2 linked regions of the Caenorhabditis elegans genome follow. The protein of the gene in region 1 purifies or fractionates together with the protein of each later gene. This does not show direct contact. Each region holds a gene or a part of one and is shown on either strand. Other genes may lie near its edges.

What was found. The genes of interacting proteins can lie anywhere in the genome.
Region 2: the proteins of asg-2 (region 1) and ucr-2.2 fractionate together in Caenorhabditis elegans (co-fractionation; one large-scale study listed by BioGRID). This does not show direct contact.

What each region holds. Positions count from the first base shown.
Region 1 is NC_003284.9:6,839,624-6,844,140, reverse strand, and holds asg-2 (putative ATP synthase subunit g 2, mitochondrial), read right to left. Parts: upstream 2,884-4,517; 5' UTR 2,883-2,883; coding exon 2,778-2,882; intron 2,700-2,777; coding exon 2,580-2,699; intron 2,338-2,579; coding exon 2,245-2,337; intron 2,198-2,244; coding exon 2,120-2,197; 3' UTR 2,020-2,119; downstream 1-2,019. Other genes in the region: glr-6 (Glutamate receptor ionotropic, kainate 2), read left to right, coding at 3,526-3,592, 3,636-3,797, 3,845-3,980, 4,053-4,289. UniProt on the Caenorhabditis elegans protein: Mitochondrial membrane ATP synthase (F(1)F(0) ATP synthase or Complex V) produces ATP from ADP in the presence of a proton gradient across the membrane which is generated by electron transport complexes of the respiratory chain.
Region 2 is NC_003284.9:15,171,688-15,179,460, reverse strand, and holds ucr-2.2 (Peptidase M16 N-terminal domain-containing protein), read right to left. Parts: upstream 5,558-7,773; 5' UTR 5,557-5,557; coding exon 5,422-5,556; intron 5,373-5,421; coding exon 5,226-5,372; intron 4,964-5,225; coding exon 4,752-4,963; intron 4,699-4,751; coding exon 4,617-4,698; intron 4,570-4,616; coding exon 4,435-4,569; intron 4,430-4,434; exon of another isoform or gene 4,355-4,429; coding exon of another isoform or gene 3,870-4,354; intron 3,800-3,869; coding exon of another isoform or gene 2,998-3,799; exon of another isoform or gene 2,980-2,997; intron 2,609-2,979; coding exon 2,469-2,608; intron 2,418-2,468; coding exon 2,227-2,417; intron 1,711-2,226; coding exon 1,484-1,710; 3' UTR 1,316-1,483; downstream 1-1,315. Other genes in the region: pkhm-2 (PH domain-containing protein), read left to right, coding at 1-150, 217-685, 732-794; col-41 (Nematode cuticle collagen N-terminal domain-containing protein), read left to right, coding at 2,998-3,799, 3,870-4,354; ocr-3 (Ion transport domain-containing protein), read right to left, coding at 5,888-6,001, 6,746-6,877, 6,934-7,050, 7,094-7,220, 7,270-7,360, 7,402-7,511, 7,568-7,734.

The DNA.
Region 1 (4,517 bases):
CGATTAAAAAAAATGCAAGTACAGCCACCAAACGCGAATTTTTTTTTGGTGGAATCTACATGGAATGGAGTTTAGATAAATAAAATGAATCGATTTTAATTATTAGGTCTCCAAATAAGTTCCGGGTCAAAAATCATAACTTCTTTCGCCTTTTATCGATTTTCTTGGAACTATGGGAATTTATGTTATCAACTATGATCTTTCATTTTGATATGGTCACAAAAATTTTTGACCACTAGGAATTTTTTCAAGCATTTTCCTGATCTCGCTTCTTTGCAGCTTTGAATTGAGGTTTATGTGCGGACTTCGCTTTGTTTAAAATACATTGTAAGAAAACAACAAAAGTTTGGAAAAAAATCAGTCCAAAAATTTTTTTTTGGTCGGTGGTCAAAAATTTTTTTATTTTTTTCAAAAAATTTTTTTTCGAAAATTCTTGATTTTTCATACAAAAATGATGTAGTCATGTGTGAACTATTTTTACAAATACAAAACATTTTAACTAAGTTCGTCACACTCAAATGATAATAGAAAACATAATTTTTTCGAAGAATATTTTTGAGTTTTTTGAGTATTTCTCGAGATCCAATTTTCAAACTCAAATGTTTTGTATGTTTAAAAATAGTTTACACATGGTTACATCATTTTTATACTAAAAATCAAAAACTTTCGAAAGAAATTTTTTTTGAAGTTTTTTTGACGGCCGACCAAAAAGAATTTTTTTGGACGGATTTTTTTCCAAACTTTTGTTGATTTCCTACGATGTATTCTAAACATAGTAAAATCCGCACACAAACCTTAGTTCAAAGCTGCAAAGAAGCGAGATCAGAAAAATGCCTGAAAAAAATGGCTTCGAGTTAGGGCACTCCGGGTGGTCAAAAAATTTTGTGACTATTTCAAAATGAAAGGTCATAGTTGATAACATGAATTCCCAAAGTTTCAAAAAATCTATAAAAGGCAAAAAAAGTTATGATTTTTGACCCGGAACTTATTTGGAGACCTAATACTTTCACAAAAAATTCACGAAAAACCTTTTCTGCATACCTTTATGTCCGGCACTGTAATTAATTTTTGAAAATATTTGTTGACGTGCAACTGTTCATGAACTAGGATTGATAACATGAACTGTTGGTGAATTTACATAAAATCATTATATGAAAGAAAGGAGAAAGTGTGATTTTCATTTAAGAAAAAGCTTGCAAAACTAATGAGACCTGCATACTGAATAATATATAAATCTGAGAATTTTCTTCCGAGATGGCAAACTTTTGGGTGACTAGGGTTCTATGGAAACGAAGTATTCAAAATTTCACAGGATCCAGTAGGCATAGTGGGGTGTATCATAGGGGCAAGGATCAATAGTGACAACCTTTTCTCAACTAGTTTTTTGTATGCATACATGTATATATTTATTTTGCAACTGATTTCGGCCATAATTCACTGAAATAAATTTGTAAATATGCCAAAATATTGCTAATGTGCGGTGAAATTAATTTTATGAATGTGAAAGGCATTTTGTCACTGGTTAGTGAACATGATTTTTTTTTTGATTTTTTCATAACTTTGTGGCTTTCTCATCTCTCTATTTCATATATTTTGATATGAAATAGAGAGATGAGTAAGCGCGCAGAAAAGTTATAAAGGGGTGGTACAGGGGACCAAGTTTACCCTTAAATCGGAAAATTATGAGAAACACCAGACTTTTGGTGATATTCTCAAAAAAAAATCGATTTAGGATTATTCCCTCCTGTATAAATGCAATTTCAAATTTAAAAAATTTACTTTGTGAAAATTGTATTTTAGTACACTTGCTGTACGAATATACTTATAAAATATTGACTACGGTGTAGATGTTATTCTTATTTTTATACTCCCCATGCATCTATGTACATATGCCAACTTATTAGAGCGTACTCTAAAAGTTTCTAATTTAAATTAATTTTTATTGCATTCAGAATGTCTTCCTTGAATGTTTCTCAAAACACAGCCAAATTTTATCAAAAATTATTAGAAATTTTTATATTTATTTTTTTCATCAATACTTCATTTTACAAACTCCAAAATAAATCTATCAAAAATTTGTCGATATCAAAAACGAGCCGCTAAACATAAGGATAACAATTTAGTTCTCGAGAGCAGCAAGAGCCTCTTGTTCTTTGACGGTCTTCTTGGTGGACTTGGAAACGTAATCAGCAGGAACCTACAATACGATATAATGACTAATAAAAATAATGCATGACAACTTACAAGATATCCGAAGATGTAGCGACGTCCAATCATTTCTCCAACGAAGAACCAGAAGACAACCTCAAGAGTGACGGCAGTGTAGACAAGTCCTTCCTGAAAAAATAAACGTTCCGGTTAATAAATTTCATCGTTTTGAAGTTTTTGATAACCAAATATGAATAAAAATTTGCATTAGTAATATCAAGTGAATTCGTTGTGTTTATTTATATATAGAGCAACACTTTAATGTTTGAAACGTTTAGTATGGTAATGTGAAAGTCTAGTATAAATGTTCTGGCTAACTATTCATAAAGTATATTTTTTAACTTTAACTTTTTTATTTAACAAAAACTCACTCTAATGCTCAAATTCTTGTATCCTCCGGTCTGGATGAAGCTCTGGACTTTGGCCCAATCGGCCTTGATGGCTGGCCAGTCAGCTTGACGTGGTGGAGCAAGCTCGTGCTTTCCTACGGCCTGTAGTGTTTGATTTTTTAAATTTCCAACATTAGACGGTGTCCAAAGACATAAATACACAGAGACAAAAAACTGTACCTTCAGAATAGCGAAGCGACGTGGAAATTGAGCATGTTGGTGGCGGTACAAAGCCCCAGTGAGGTTGGCGATCTTCTCAAAAAATCCAAGTTTTGGAGCAGCCATTCTGAAAAATTAACGTTATTTGAAACGAAAATTCATTGACACAAACAAAAATTGACGGAAAACACTCAGAGAAACACGGCAAAATATCTAAAGTTTTAAAACAAATTAATAAGTTGATTTAAAAGCAAAAATTAGTGTATTTTTACCCGTAAATGAGATGTGTACCGCCTTGAATTCCCAGAGACTTGCCTCTTCGTTATGAGACCTTCTCAATGGAGCGCAATTGCACATGTTACCTCTCCATCTTCCTTCCCATCTTTTGGCCGGCACAGGCGGGAGTATCGATTTTATTGAAGACGGAATTGTTTTACAAGGTGCAAATGTACAGATTGTTTTCTTCTGGAAAAAGTACGATGTTTTAAAACAAAAATATGACATTTATTTTTTAATTTATTAAAAAAAGCTTTAATAAAAGTTTTAAAAAAAGACATTGAAAAATATTCTTAAATGTTTAATTTAACATTTTTTTTTATCTTTCAAATTTCTGCTAGAACTTTGTATTTTGCTTTTTTCAACGCCCACTAATCAAAGTTCTTTTAGTGCTTGTGACAACACTATGGGAAAATCAGTCAATTCAATTATCGTCTACACATCAACCAATTAAGAATAAAATGAAAGAACTTGCTGAACAAATGCATTTGAAATGCTCAACATCTTCAGATTTCTACTATTATCTTTCCTAGGAACAGGTGTATCATCAATACGGATTGGTAGGCAATCAAATTGGGTTTCATCAGCAAAAAAAATTTTAAGGATTAATAACGAGTCACCATTTGGAGCATTCTGTACGAACCGCCGTGAATATTATAGTACCAAGAATCAATGAACAAATTGTGAAAACGCGAGGAGCTTGCTTTATCACTCACACATCCTTTATTGCACTGAAAAATTCGCACGAAGATTTGAACACAAAAAGTAAGGTAATGGAAAAAGTTCTCACATTTTTTCTCCTCGATTTTTAGTATGCGATCTCGCAAACTCAGAAGTCAGTGTTATTATTGGTGTTGTCGACAGAGAGAGTGGATCCATTATTGAAGAGCAATGTGCAGAGTTGAATATACTATTTATCCACTATTACTGGACACCCGGATATCAAAAGTAACATTTTTTAAAATTTAAATTTGATAAAAGCTTTTAAAAAGTATTAGCAATGTTTACTTGCTTTTTCAGAAAACAACAAACATCACTAAATTTGTATCCATCGATGGAATATTCTCAACTAATGGAAAGACTTATAAATCTGTGGCGCTGGGATAATTTCGTGTACATTTATTCAAATTATGACGCTCCGAAGCAACTTATCGAGACACTTTCTCGACTAGAAAAGAGCCCTGCTCTGCTACGTGCTCACACTTTGGATGACAGTATGATGGCAACAGCCTTGGCATTACGAGATACTTGTGACAGGTAGGTTTATTAATAGCACGTGGATCTTAACCGAAATATGAATTGGAACATGCCTGTTTTTGGAATTAAAAAGTCGTATAATAAAAGTTATATTTTATAGACTCAGAAATTATCAGTTATCTCCTGAAACTGAAAATAGTTTCAGATTTCGTTTTCAAGTGTTCATACTTGAGCTCCGCAGCTAAAGTTTCTTTGAAACAAAGCTTCTTTAACTTTTATACGTTTTGT
Region 2 (7,773 bases), 8.3 Mb from region 1:
AAAATCCGGTTTTTTGTTCAAATCGAACATTGGGAACTGGATTAAGAGCTCCGACGAGGCTGAGCAGAAGTACTGCATGATTGTTGGCAACAATTTTAATGTGTTTGCCGACTCGACCTGCAAGACCGAAGAATTGGTGATTAGCTTAAGGTTAGTAAAATCAGCTTTTGTGCATTAGACAACTCAATAAAATATATATAATTTGATAATTTTCAGTGGCTCCAGTATCAATAGCACAGGAAGAGTTGCTTTCCAAATGAAAGCTGCAGAAGGTACATTTGAGTTTGAGTGCCCAACCCAGGAGGATCAAATCGAATGGACCAGAATCCTGACAATGATTGCGGAGAATAAGACGACGCAGCCATACATGGCATCTTGCCTTGCAGTAGTCACGGAGACCTGCATCGCACTGGTTCAAGAGGGCGAAAAGTTCTGGTCCGATGGATTCTTGCGCCTTCTCAACGAAGTTGGAGGTATTAACGTCAAGCAATCGGTAGTTGTTCGTCAGCCGGAGGATAAGGAGAGCTTCTTTGGGAATCGCTCGCCTGCGCTTTGCTTGGTCACCAAAGACGATACCATTCATTACTTCTTCGTCCGATTCGATAAGGAGCTGGAACGGCTTGCGTCTGCTGTTCAAAGCAGTTACGGTGTCCGTTGGGCAAAGCTTGATGATGATTTGATTAAGGTATGTTAATAGAGAAACTTAGTAACTAATTAAATATAATTTCTAGACACCGATTGGAAAAATCATCCATAACACTTGCTGCTCCGCCAACACGCTGTGGCCAGTCTAATTCGCATCTCCATTTCTTTACTCATCAAGAGTTAACTCCATGATAATCGCTACCTGGTCCGGGTACCCATTGTACTTTTGTACTTTTTTTGTCCCAATTTTCCCCATACACATTCATTTCCATTTCAGCCTTAACACTTATAAAGTAGCTCAGTAGCTCATGTCATCTCCTCTTCCCACCTTCAACTCTGTTCCTTCGAACTTGTCTCATTTAATTGTAGTCTATCGCGGGCCCATTTGTGCAGAGCCCCCGGTGCTTCTGTTCGTCACGGCTAATAACTGTTAATTTCCCAGATTTCTTTCAACCCACCTTTTTGTTGTTGTTATCCTGCACATTTCAATGCTCACACCCCAAACTAGATTATACGGAATTTCATGTTTTTACACGTTTAAGTTGTCATTCTTTCCCGCTTCTCCCGAACGTTTCAAAGCCTAACTCTCACATTTACAATTCACTTATTCACCCTCGGTATATGTATAAGCTTATTCGAGCTTACTTTTTTTTTCTGTCTGTTTTTGATTACGTGAATAATTTCTTTATTTTTTTGTTCATTGAACAAACAAATTTCAAAGTCTAGTACCTTTTATTGACAGCAAAAAAATAGTCATATGAGACGGAAAACAAATTGACCAAAAAATAACAAAATGCGTTCGTCTACTGGAGTAAAATCATTTAATTTAACTAGATGCTCACAGAGTATCAACATATGGGACTTCTGAGACATTTCCATAACTGGCCAACGACAACTTGGTAGTCAATTTCTTGGCGGCAACTTCAACATCACTAGCCGACACATTTGGAATCTGTTGAATGTAATTGTCTTGGGACTGGAAGAGTTGGGAGGCTCTCTCGATGGCAAAGTTGTCGGAATGAGCAGAGGCTCTCAAGGCGTTGTTGAAGGCCTGCTTCTTGACGGCTGAAAGTTGAAATTAATACAAAAACCGATTAAGTCGGTAACGTCACAGTAGTTTGAAATTACCATCAACCTAAAAATCTGCAATTAGTTTTGTGCTAGAAATATTCCATTTCGCTTAAATTTTACGACAAGGTTAGCATAGTTTAGCTTTAGTCTAGTTTAGTTAAGTTCAACTCTACCACAAGAACACAATTTATATTTTGGGTTTTCAGTATAGGCCTCTAAAAATCATATTTATACAAAAGCCCTTCTCTAAGGCGGCTCAAATTGTAAATCTACATACAAAAATGTCAAGTATTAGGTCGTGAAAAAAGTTTTCTCCGAAAATTTTGAAAGTTTTGCCCCGGAAAGTTCTGCAGCTTTCTGGACTATTTTATTATAGAATGTTGTAGAACATCCTAGAAGCATATCTTTATTTAATTTTTATTTTTTTTTATAATTTCAGAAATATCGATGTACAAAAATAGTGTGATCCCATTTTATCAAATTTATACTCTAAAAAACAAAATTTCTTACCTTCAATATCAGCGACCTTCAAAGACTTCAATGCTCCAACTACATTCGAAACAGCTTGGTTAGCCTGGCTTCCTTCAACGACAAGGTATACTCCGGCCAGTCCACTATCCGCATGAACAGCTTGGAATGCGCTGGCCGATCCATTCTGTCCGACGGCTTTTGCGATGACTCCAGTGGTTCCGGTGTTGAATCTGAAATTAATCATTTCAAGTGTGAACATTGTAATTCCTTTTTTGTATTACTTGACTGGTGATGAATTTCCAAGTGCGGTGAGGAGAACTGCTTGGGTGGCCAATGCTTTCGTGTTGTTTCCGGCAGCTCCTTCTCCAGCGACAATCACATGCGCGTACTTCGAATCGGCATCTCTGCGCACTTCTCCTCCCTAGGTGTCAGAAAAGGTGAGAAATGATAGTATAGATAACATAAACAGTGGAGTGGATAATGAAATTGAAATTTGCAAAGTTTTTCTGTTCTATTTCCAAATCCAAAATGAGTGATTGCATTTTTTCGGGGAAAGAAACAATAGTAGCAAGTTTTTTCCTCTTCATGCCAAAGGTATACTGAATATCCGTCGCATTGCGATATCTGTCATACGACTAGGACCGGTAATTTTTTATCGGCGCGTTCTTCCCGATCTGTTGCGTGTCTAAGTTTCTAAGTTTTCCCAGCCTCCCCCTTGCCCTTGCAAGTTCTTGCCGGCTTTCGAGTTTTTTCGGAGAAAAATGTATAAAAAAGTGTTCACCAAAGCAATACACAACATTGTTCTCAACGATGTCTACTCTTGGCTATATTGGGGCAGGCGTCTGCTTGCTCGGAGTTTTCTCCGCTCTTTGCTCAATTGGACATATTGTTCAAGATATTAACAACCTTCGTTCCGAAGTTGAAGGACGCGTTGATGAGTTCAAAGTTCTTGCCGATGATACTTGGGATCGTCTCCTGATTCTTCAATCTCCAACAGGAGAATCTGCCAATCCAGTGCCATCCCTCCTCCGTAACAAGAGATTTGTGTACCCAGGAATGTGCAATTGCGACAGCAACTCTCAAGGATGCCCAGCAGGAGCACCAGGACCACCAGGAAACCCAGGAAAGCGTGGAGACGAAGGACATCCAGGAGATGAAGGAAGACGTGGAGCCAGTGGTATCTCTCTTGCAACCACTCACGATATTCCAGGAGGATGCATTAAATGCCCAGAGGGACCAGCTGGACCACCAGGGCCTGATGGAGACTCTGGACCAGAAGGATTCCCAGGACTTCAAGGGCAATCCGGACCATCCGGTGAAGATGGAGCCCCAGGACAGGAGGGAGCCCCAGGAGATCAAGGAGAACAAGGACCAAAGGGATACGATGGGACCGACGGACCAGACGGACAGCCAGGAACCACATACTTCCCAGGACAAGCTGGACAGCCAGGAGAGCCAGGATGGTTGGGAGAGCCAGGACTTCCAGGACAACATGGAGAGCCAGGAAAGGACGGAGAGGAGGGACCACAAGGAGCACCAGGAACTCCAGGAAACGCTGGTCACGACGCCTTCCCAGGAACCCCGGGACAAGCTGGAAAGCCAGGAGCTCCAGGTAAAATTTTTGTTGTTGTTACTAGGAATTTCTTGAACAAACAGTGATGAAACATTTTAAATTGTTTCAGGAAAAGATGCCAACTACTGCCCATGCCCACAAAGACAAGACGACAGAACCCCACCATCATCTGGAACATCCGCTCCACAGCCACCACCACGTGGATCCACTGCTGCTCCAGGAACTCGTGCTCCACCAGCAACTCGCGCTCCACCAGCAACTCGTGCTCCACCAGCAACCACCCGCGCTCCACCAGCAACAACTCGTCCAGCACCAGCTTCACAGCCACCAGTCAGAGAGCCAGAGACTCCAGATTCTGGATACCCATCCCCAGCTCCACAAGAGCCAGCTCATCCATCACCAAGCTACCCGTCTCCAAGCTATCCATCTCCAAGCTATCCATCCCCAAGCTACCCATCTCCGAGCTACCCATCCCCAAGCTATCCAGCTGAGCCAGCTTATTCCGTCCCACCACCAGCCAAGCCAGAGCAGCCATCAGGAGGATACGATGCTCCATCTCCACCACAAACTGGAAGCTACCAGAGACGTTGGTAGATGCGTGACACTTCTCATGACATTATTTATGACTTTGTTATCCAACTCCACTGAATAAATATTCGTTTTCAAGAACTCACCTTGTAAGCACTTGAAGATGGGGACGCAGCGTTTCCACTTCTGATTGGGGCGTGATTGTCTCCATAGAGAAGAAGGTCATCGTGAACAGCATTAGTGGCAAACAATACTCCGTTTCCTGTGACGAAGTGCTGCTCCTGAAATTTTAAAATTGAAAACTTGCAGATAAGAATAAGCAACTTACTGCAAATGAGGACAAAGTTGATGTGCAGATCGATCCAATTTTAGAGCATGGTGCATAGATTGAGTTTCCAAGTCCTCCATTTCTAAAAAAAAAAGTTTTGCTCAATGAATTCTCGAAAGCTTCTCAATGCCAAACCTGTAAGCGGCCTTGTGAATCTGGTCAACAACCAAGTCGTAAGCGGTTCTGTATCCGTTGTCAGCGCGCATAGTTGGCAGCACATCCTCGACTTCCCATGGCTTGAATCCTGGGTTACCAGCGACTTGTCCCAATACGGAAAGTCCGACGGAAGTGCTTTCGCGTGGAATTGTGAGGGAGACTCCGAAAAGATCGCGGGAGGTGAAGGATTTCTGAAACATCACCCTCGCTATGTCTGTGAGACTTTTTGGAATGCTCATGAAAATTTGATAATTTTGCTCCAAGTTAATTAGACCACATTTTTTCTGAAATTTTGATACAAAATACTTAATTCCAAATTTTTTTTCTAACAAATCTTTTCTAAAAAAAACTGTGAATGTATTATGCAATCTTTCTTCAAATTTACATTAAAATTCTTAGTTCTTTTCTAACGCCCAGTAGATTCAACTTTATCGATTTTTTTTTCTTGCTCACCAGAACTCCTCCGGTCTGTGACAACGTCCATACAACTGTGTTTCCAAAGTATTCCTGGGTATCTCTGCCGACGAAATTTCTGATGGTATGAGAGAGTCCGGCCTGGTTGGCTTTTTCGTAGCGACTTCCAGCTCTGAAGGCAAGAACCTAAAATTTGAAGATGATTTCGGATAGAAGAAACAAATTAAAAAAAAACCAAATGTGCAATTGGTTTGTGAGAGTCGATAGTTCCAACGGTCAATCCATTTCCAAGTTTGGCCACTTTTTCGACTGGTTTTGTCGTTGCTGCCTTATGGGCTCCGCGAACAGCTCCAATGTTGCGGCTAAGCATTCTGAAAAAACTAGATTTTCAAAGAAAAACTAGATAATTTTCAAAAATTGGGTAAAATTGAACAATACGGTTATAAAAAGTGCATAATTTATCAAATTTATTCATTTTTTGTTTAAATATTAAATGGAAAACTAAAAATAACTTCATTTTTCACAAAAATAGGTCCAAAAAATGAGAGACGCCTTTCCCGACTCATTGCTGACGCATCCCTTCTCGCTTGCGCGTTTCGTGCGCACATACGTCACTGGCCAAATGGCATGAAACGACGAGGACTATGAACACTTTATTACGGCAAAAATTAATAAACGAATAATTGAAATTTTTTTAGTTTTTACGAAGCATGTTTTGATAGAACATGTAAGACATGAATGGAACTGTTGTTTGACAAGCGGATTGACGGTTTTCCACGCGGTGGAATTAATTTGAGTTGTGGTTGCTGGCGGTCCTGAAAAAATATATTTGAAAACTAAAAAAATGATATAAATTTTGTGAGGTTTTTTTCGAGAGGAAAAGTTTGATTACAAATTTTTCAGTTTCAGCAAAAATTATGTTTTCCTATAATTTTTACAAAACTAACAAAATGTGCTTAAACCAAGTTAGGATATTTCTGAAGACATTAAAGGTGGTGTAGTCGAATTTTTTTATTGCTTTATTAGACTCAAAATTGTCTGGAAATGCCAAATTTCATAATGAAACTTCTTGAAAACTTCTTTTTAAAAAAAGTTATGACGGCTCACAAAATGGCCCAAAATTCGCTAGAATAACGGCGAGATTTTTAAATTATTTTAAACCAAATCTTGCCTTCCATCGACTTTAAAGTACCTAAATAAAGTTGAAAACACAAGATAATTACACGGTTTATTCAAAATTTGACGGTAATTTCAAAAAAAAATTGTTTCCAGCCGCTGCGACATAGGCAAGTCGGTCAAATTTCAAAATTTAACTAATTTTAGGTCACTTTTTCACGCGTCATAACTTTTTTTTGAGAAGTTTTCAAGAAGTTTCATTATGAAATTCGGTGTTTTCAGACAATTTCAAGTCTAATAAAGCATTAAAAATATTCGACTACACAACCTTTAATAGGATTCGGGAATCACCAAGTCTTGCCATCAAATTTGTACAATAAGAAATAAAGTTAATTTTTTTCAAATTCTAGTATAAATTAGGGAAAATTTATAGATTCACTTACATTCGACTTCACTTTCACAACAAATGCTCTTCTTCGTTTATCGGAACGTATTGGCCGAGTATAACGATAAAGTGATAGGAGGCGTTCCGAGGCTGAAGATGACTGCTCTAACATTAAAATTACTTGCGCCCACTGGAAAGTAAAATGGTGAAACTTGAAAATAAAATGTTGAAGTATAAAAAAATCACCTGACGCTTCCATTCTTTCTCAGTTTCGGCAATTTTCTCATAAGTACGAGTCATCATAGCAATTAGTAGATTCAGAAGCATAACAGTCACAATTAACTCGAAGAGGATGAAAAATACCTTAAAACGAGCTTGTAAGCCTGAAAAGAGCTTTTTTTGTAACCTTGGACTGTGGAGCAATGCTGCTTTTGCACTCGTTCAAGTTTTTATAAAGTGCACCAAATTCTCCCACACTCATAATAAACATTCTCATCACTGCCTCCCAACCATCTTCCATGATGTTTTCAAATCTAAAAAACATTAGGTAGTATAAAATCGTGATAAGAAATGTTTTCTTACTTCTCAATATATTCATCGTCTTCAGTATAGTTATGAGCTTTCTGATAAGCAATTTCTGCTCTCTCACAGGATTTGAATATAACAAAAAATGCTGGAAAATACTTCGACAATTGAAATTATGAAAACACTCACCTTGTGCAAATCCCATTAAGAAAAACGAGTATATAAGCAAAAATCGCAGCATATCTCTCACAATAATTTTGTACACCATCAACACAAATGGCCCGACAAATTTAAGACTTCTGAAAAACTTTGTCATAAGTTCAAACTTGTATCTTCAAACTTCTAAAAGACAAACCTGCAATAAAAAAGAAAATGCAAAGTACTCATGATTACAATGCACACCACTAGCAAGTTCTCAATGACTAGAAAACTATCGTCCAAATAACATCCAACACGGAGTGGAACTGTGCATAACACAAGAATTTGGCAGAACTTATGGAGAACTTTCTCAGGGAAGGCCTTCTGAAATTTAACGAGAAATTCGGAGAGGAGGATAGTTCA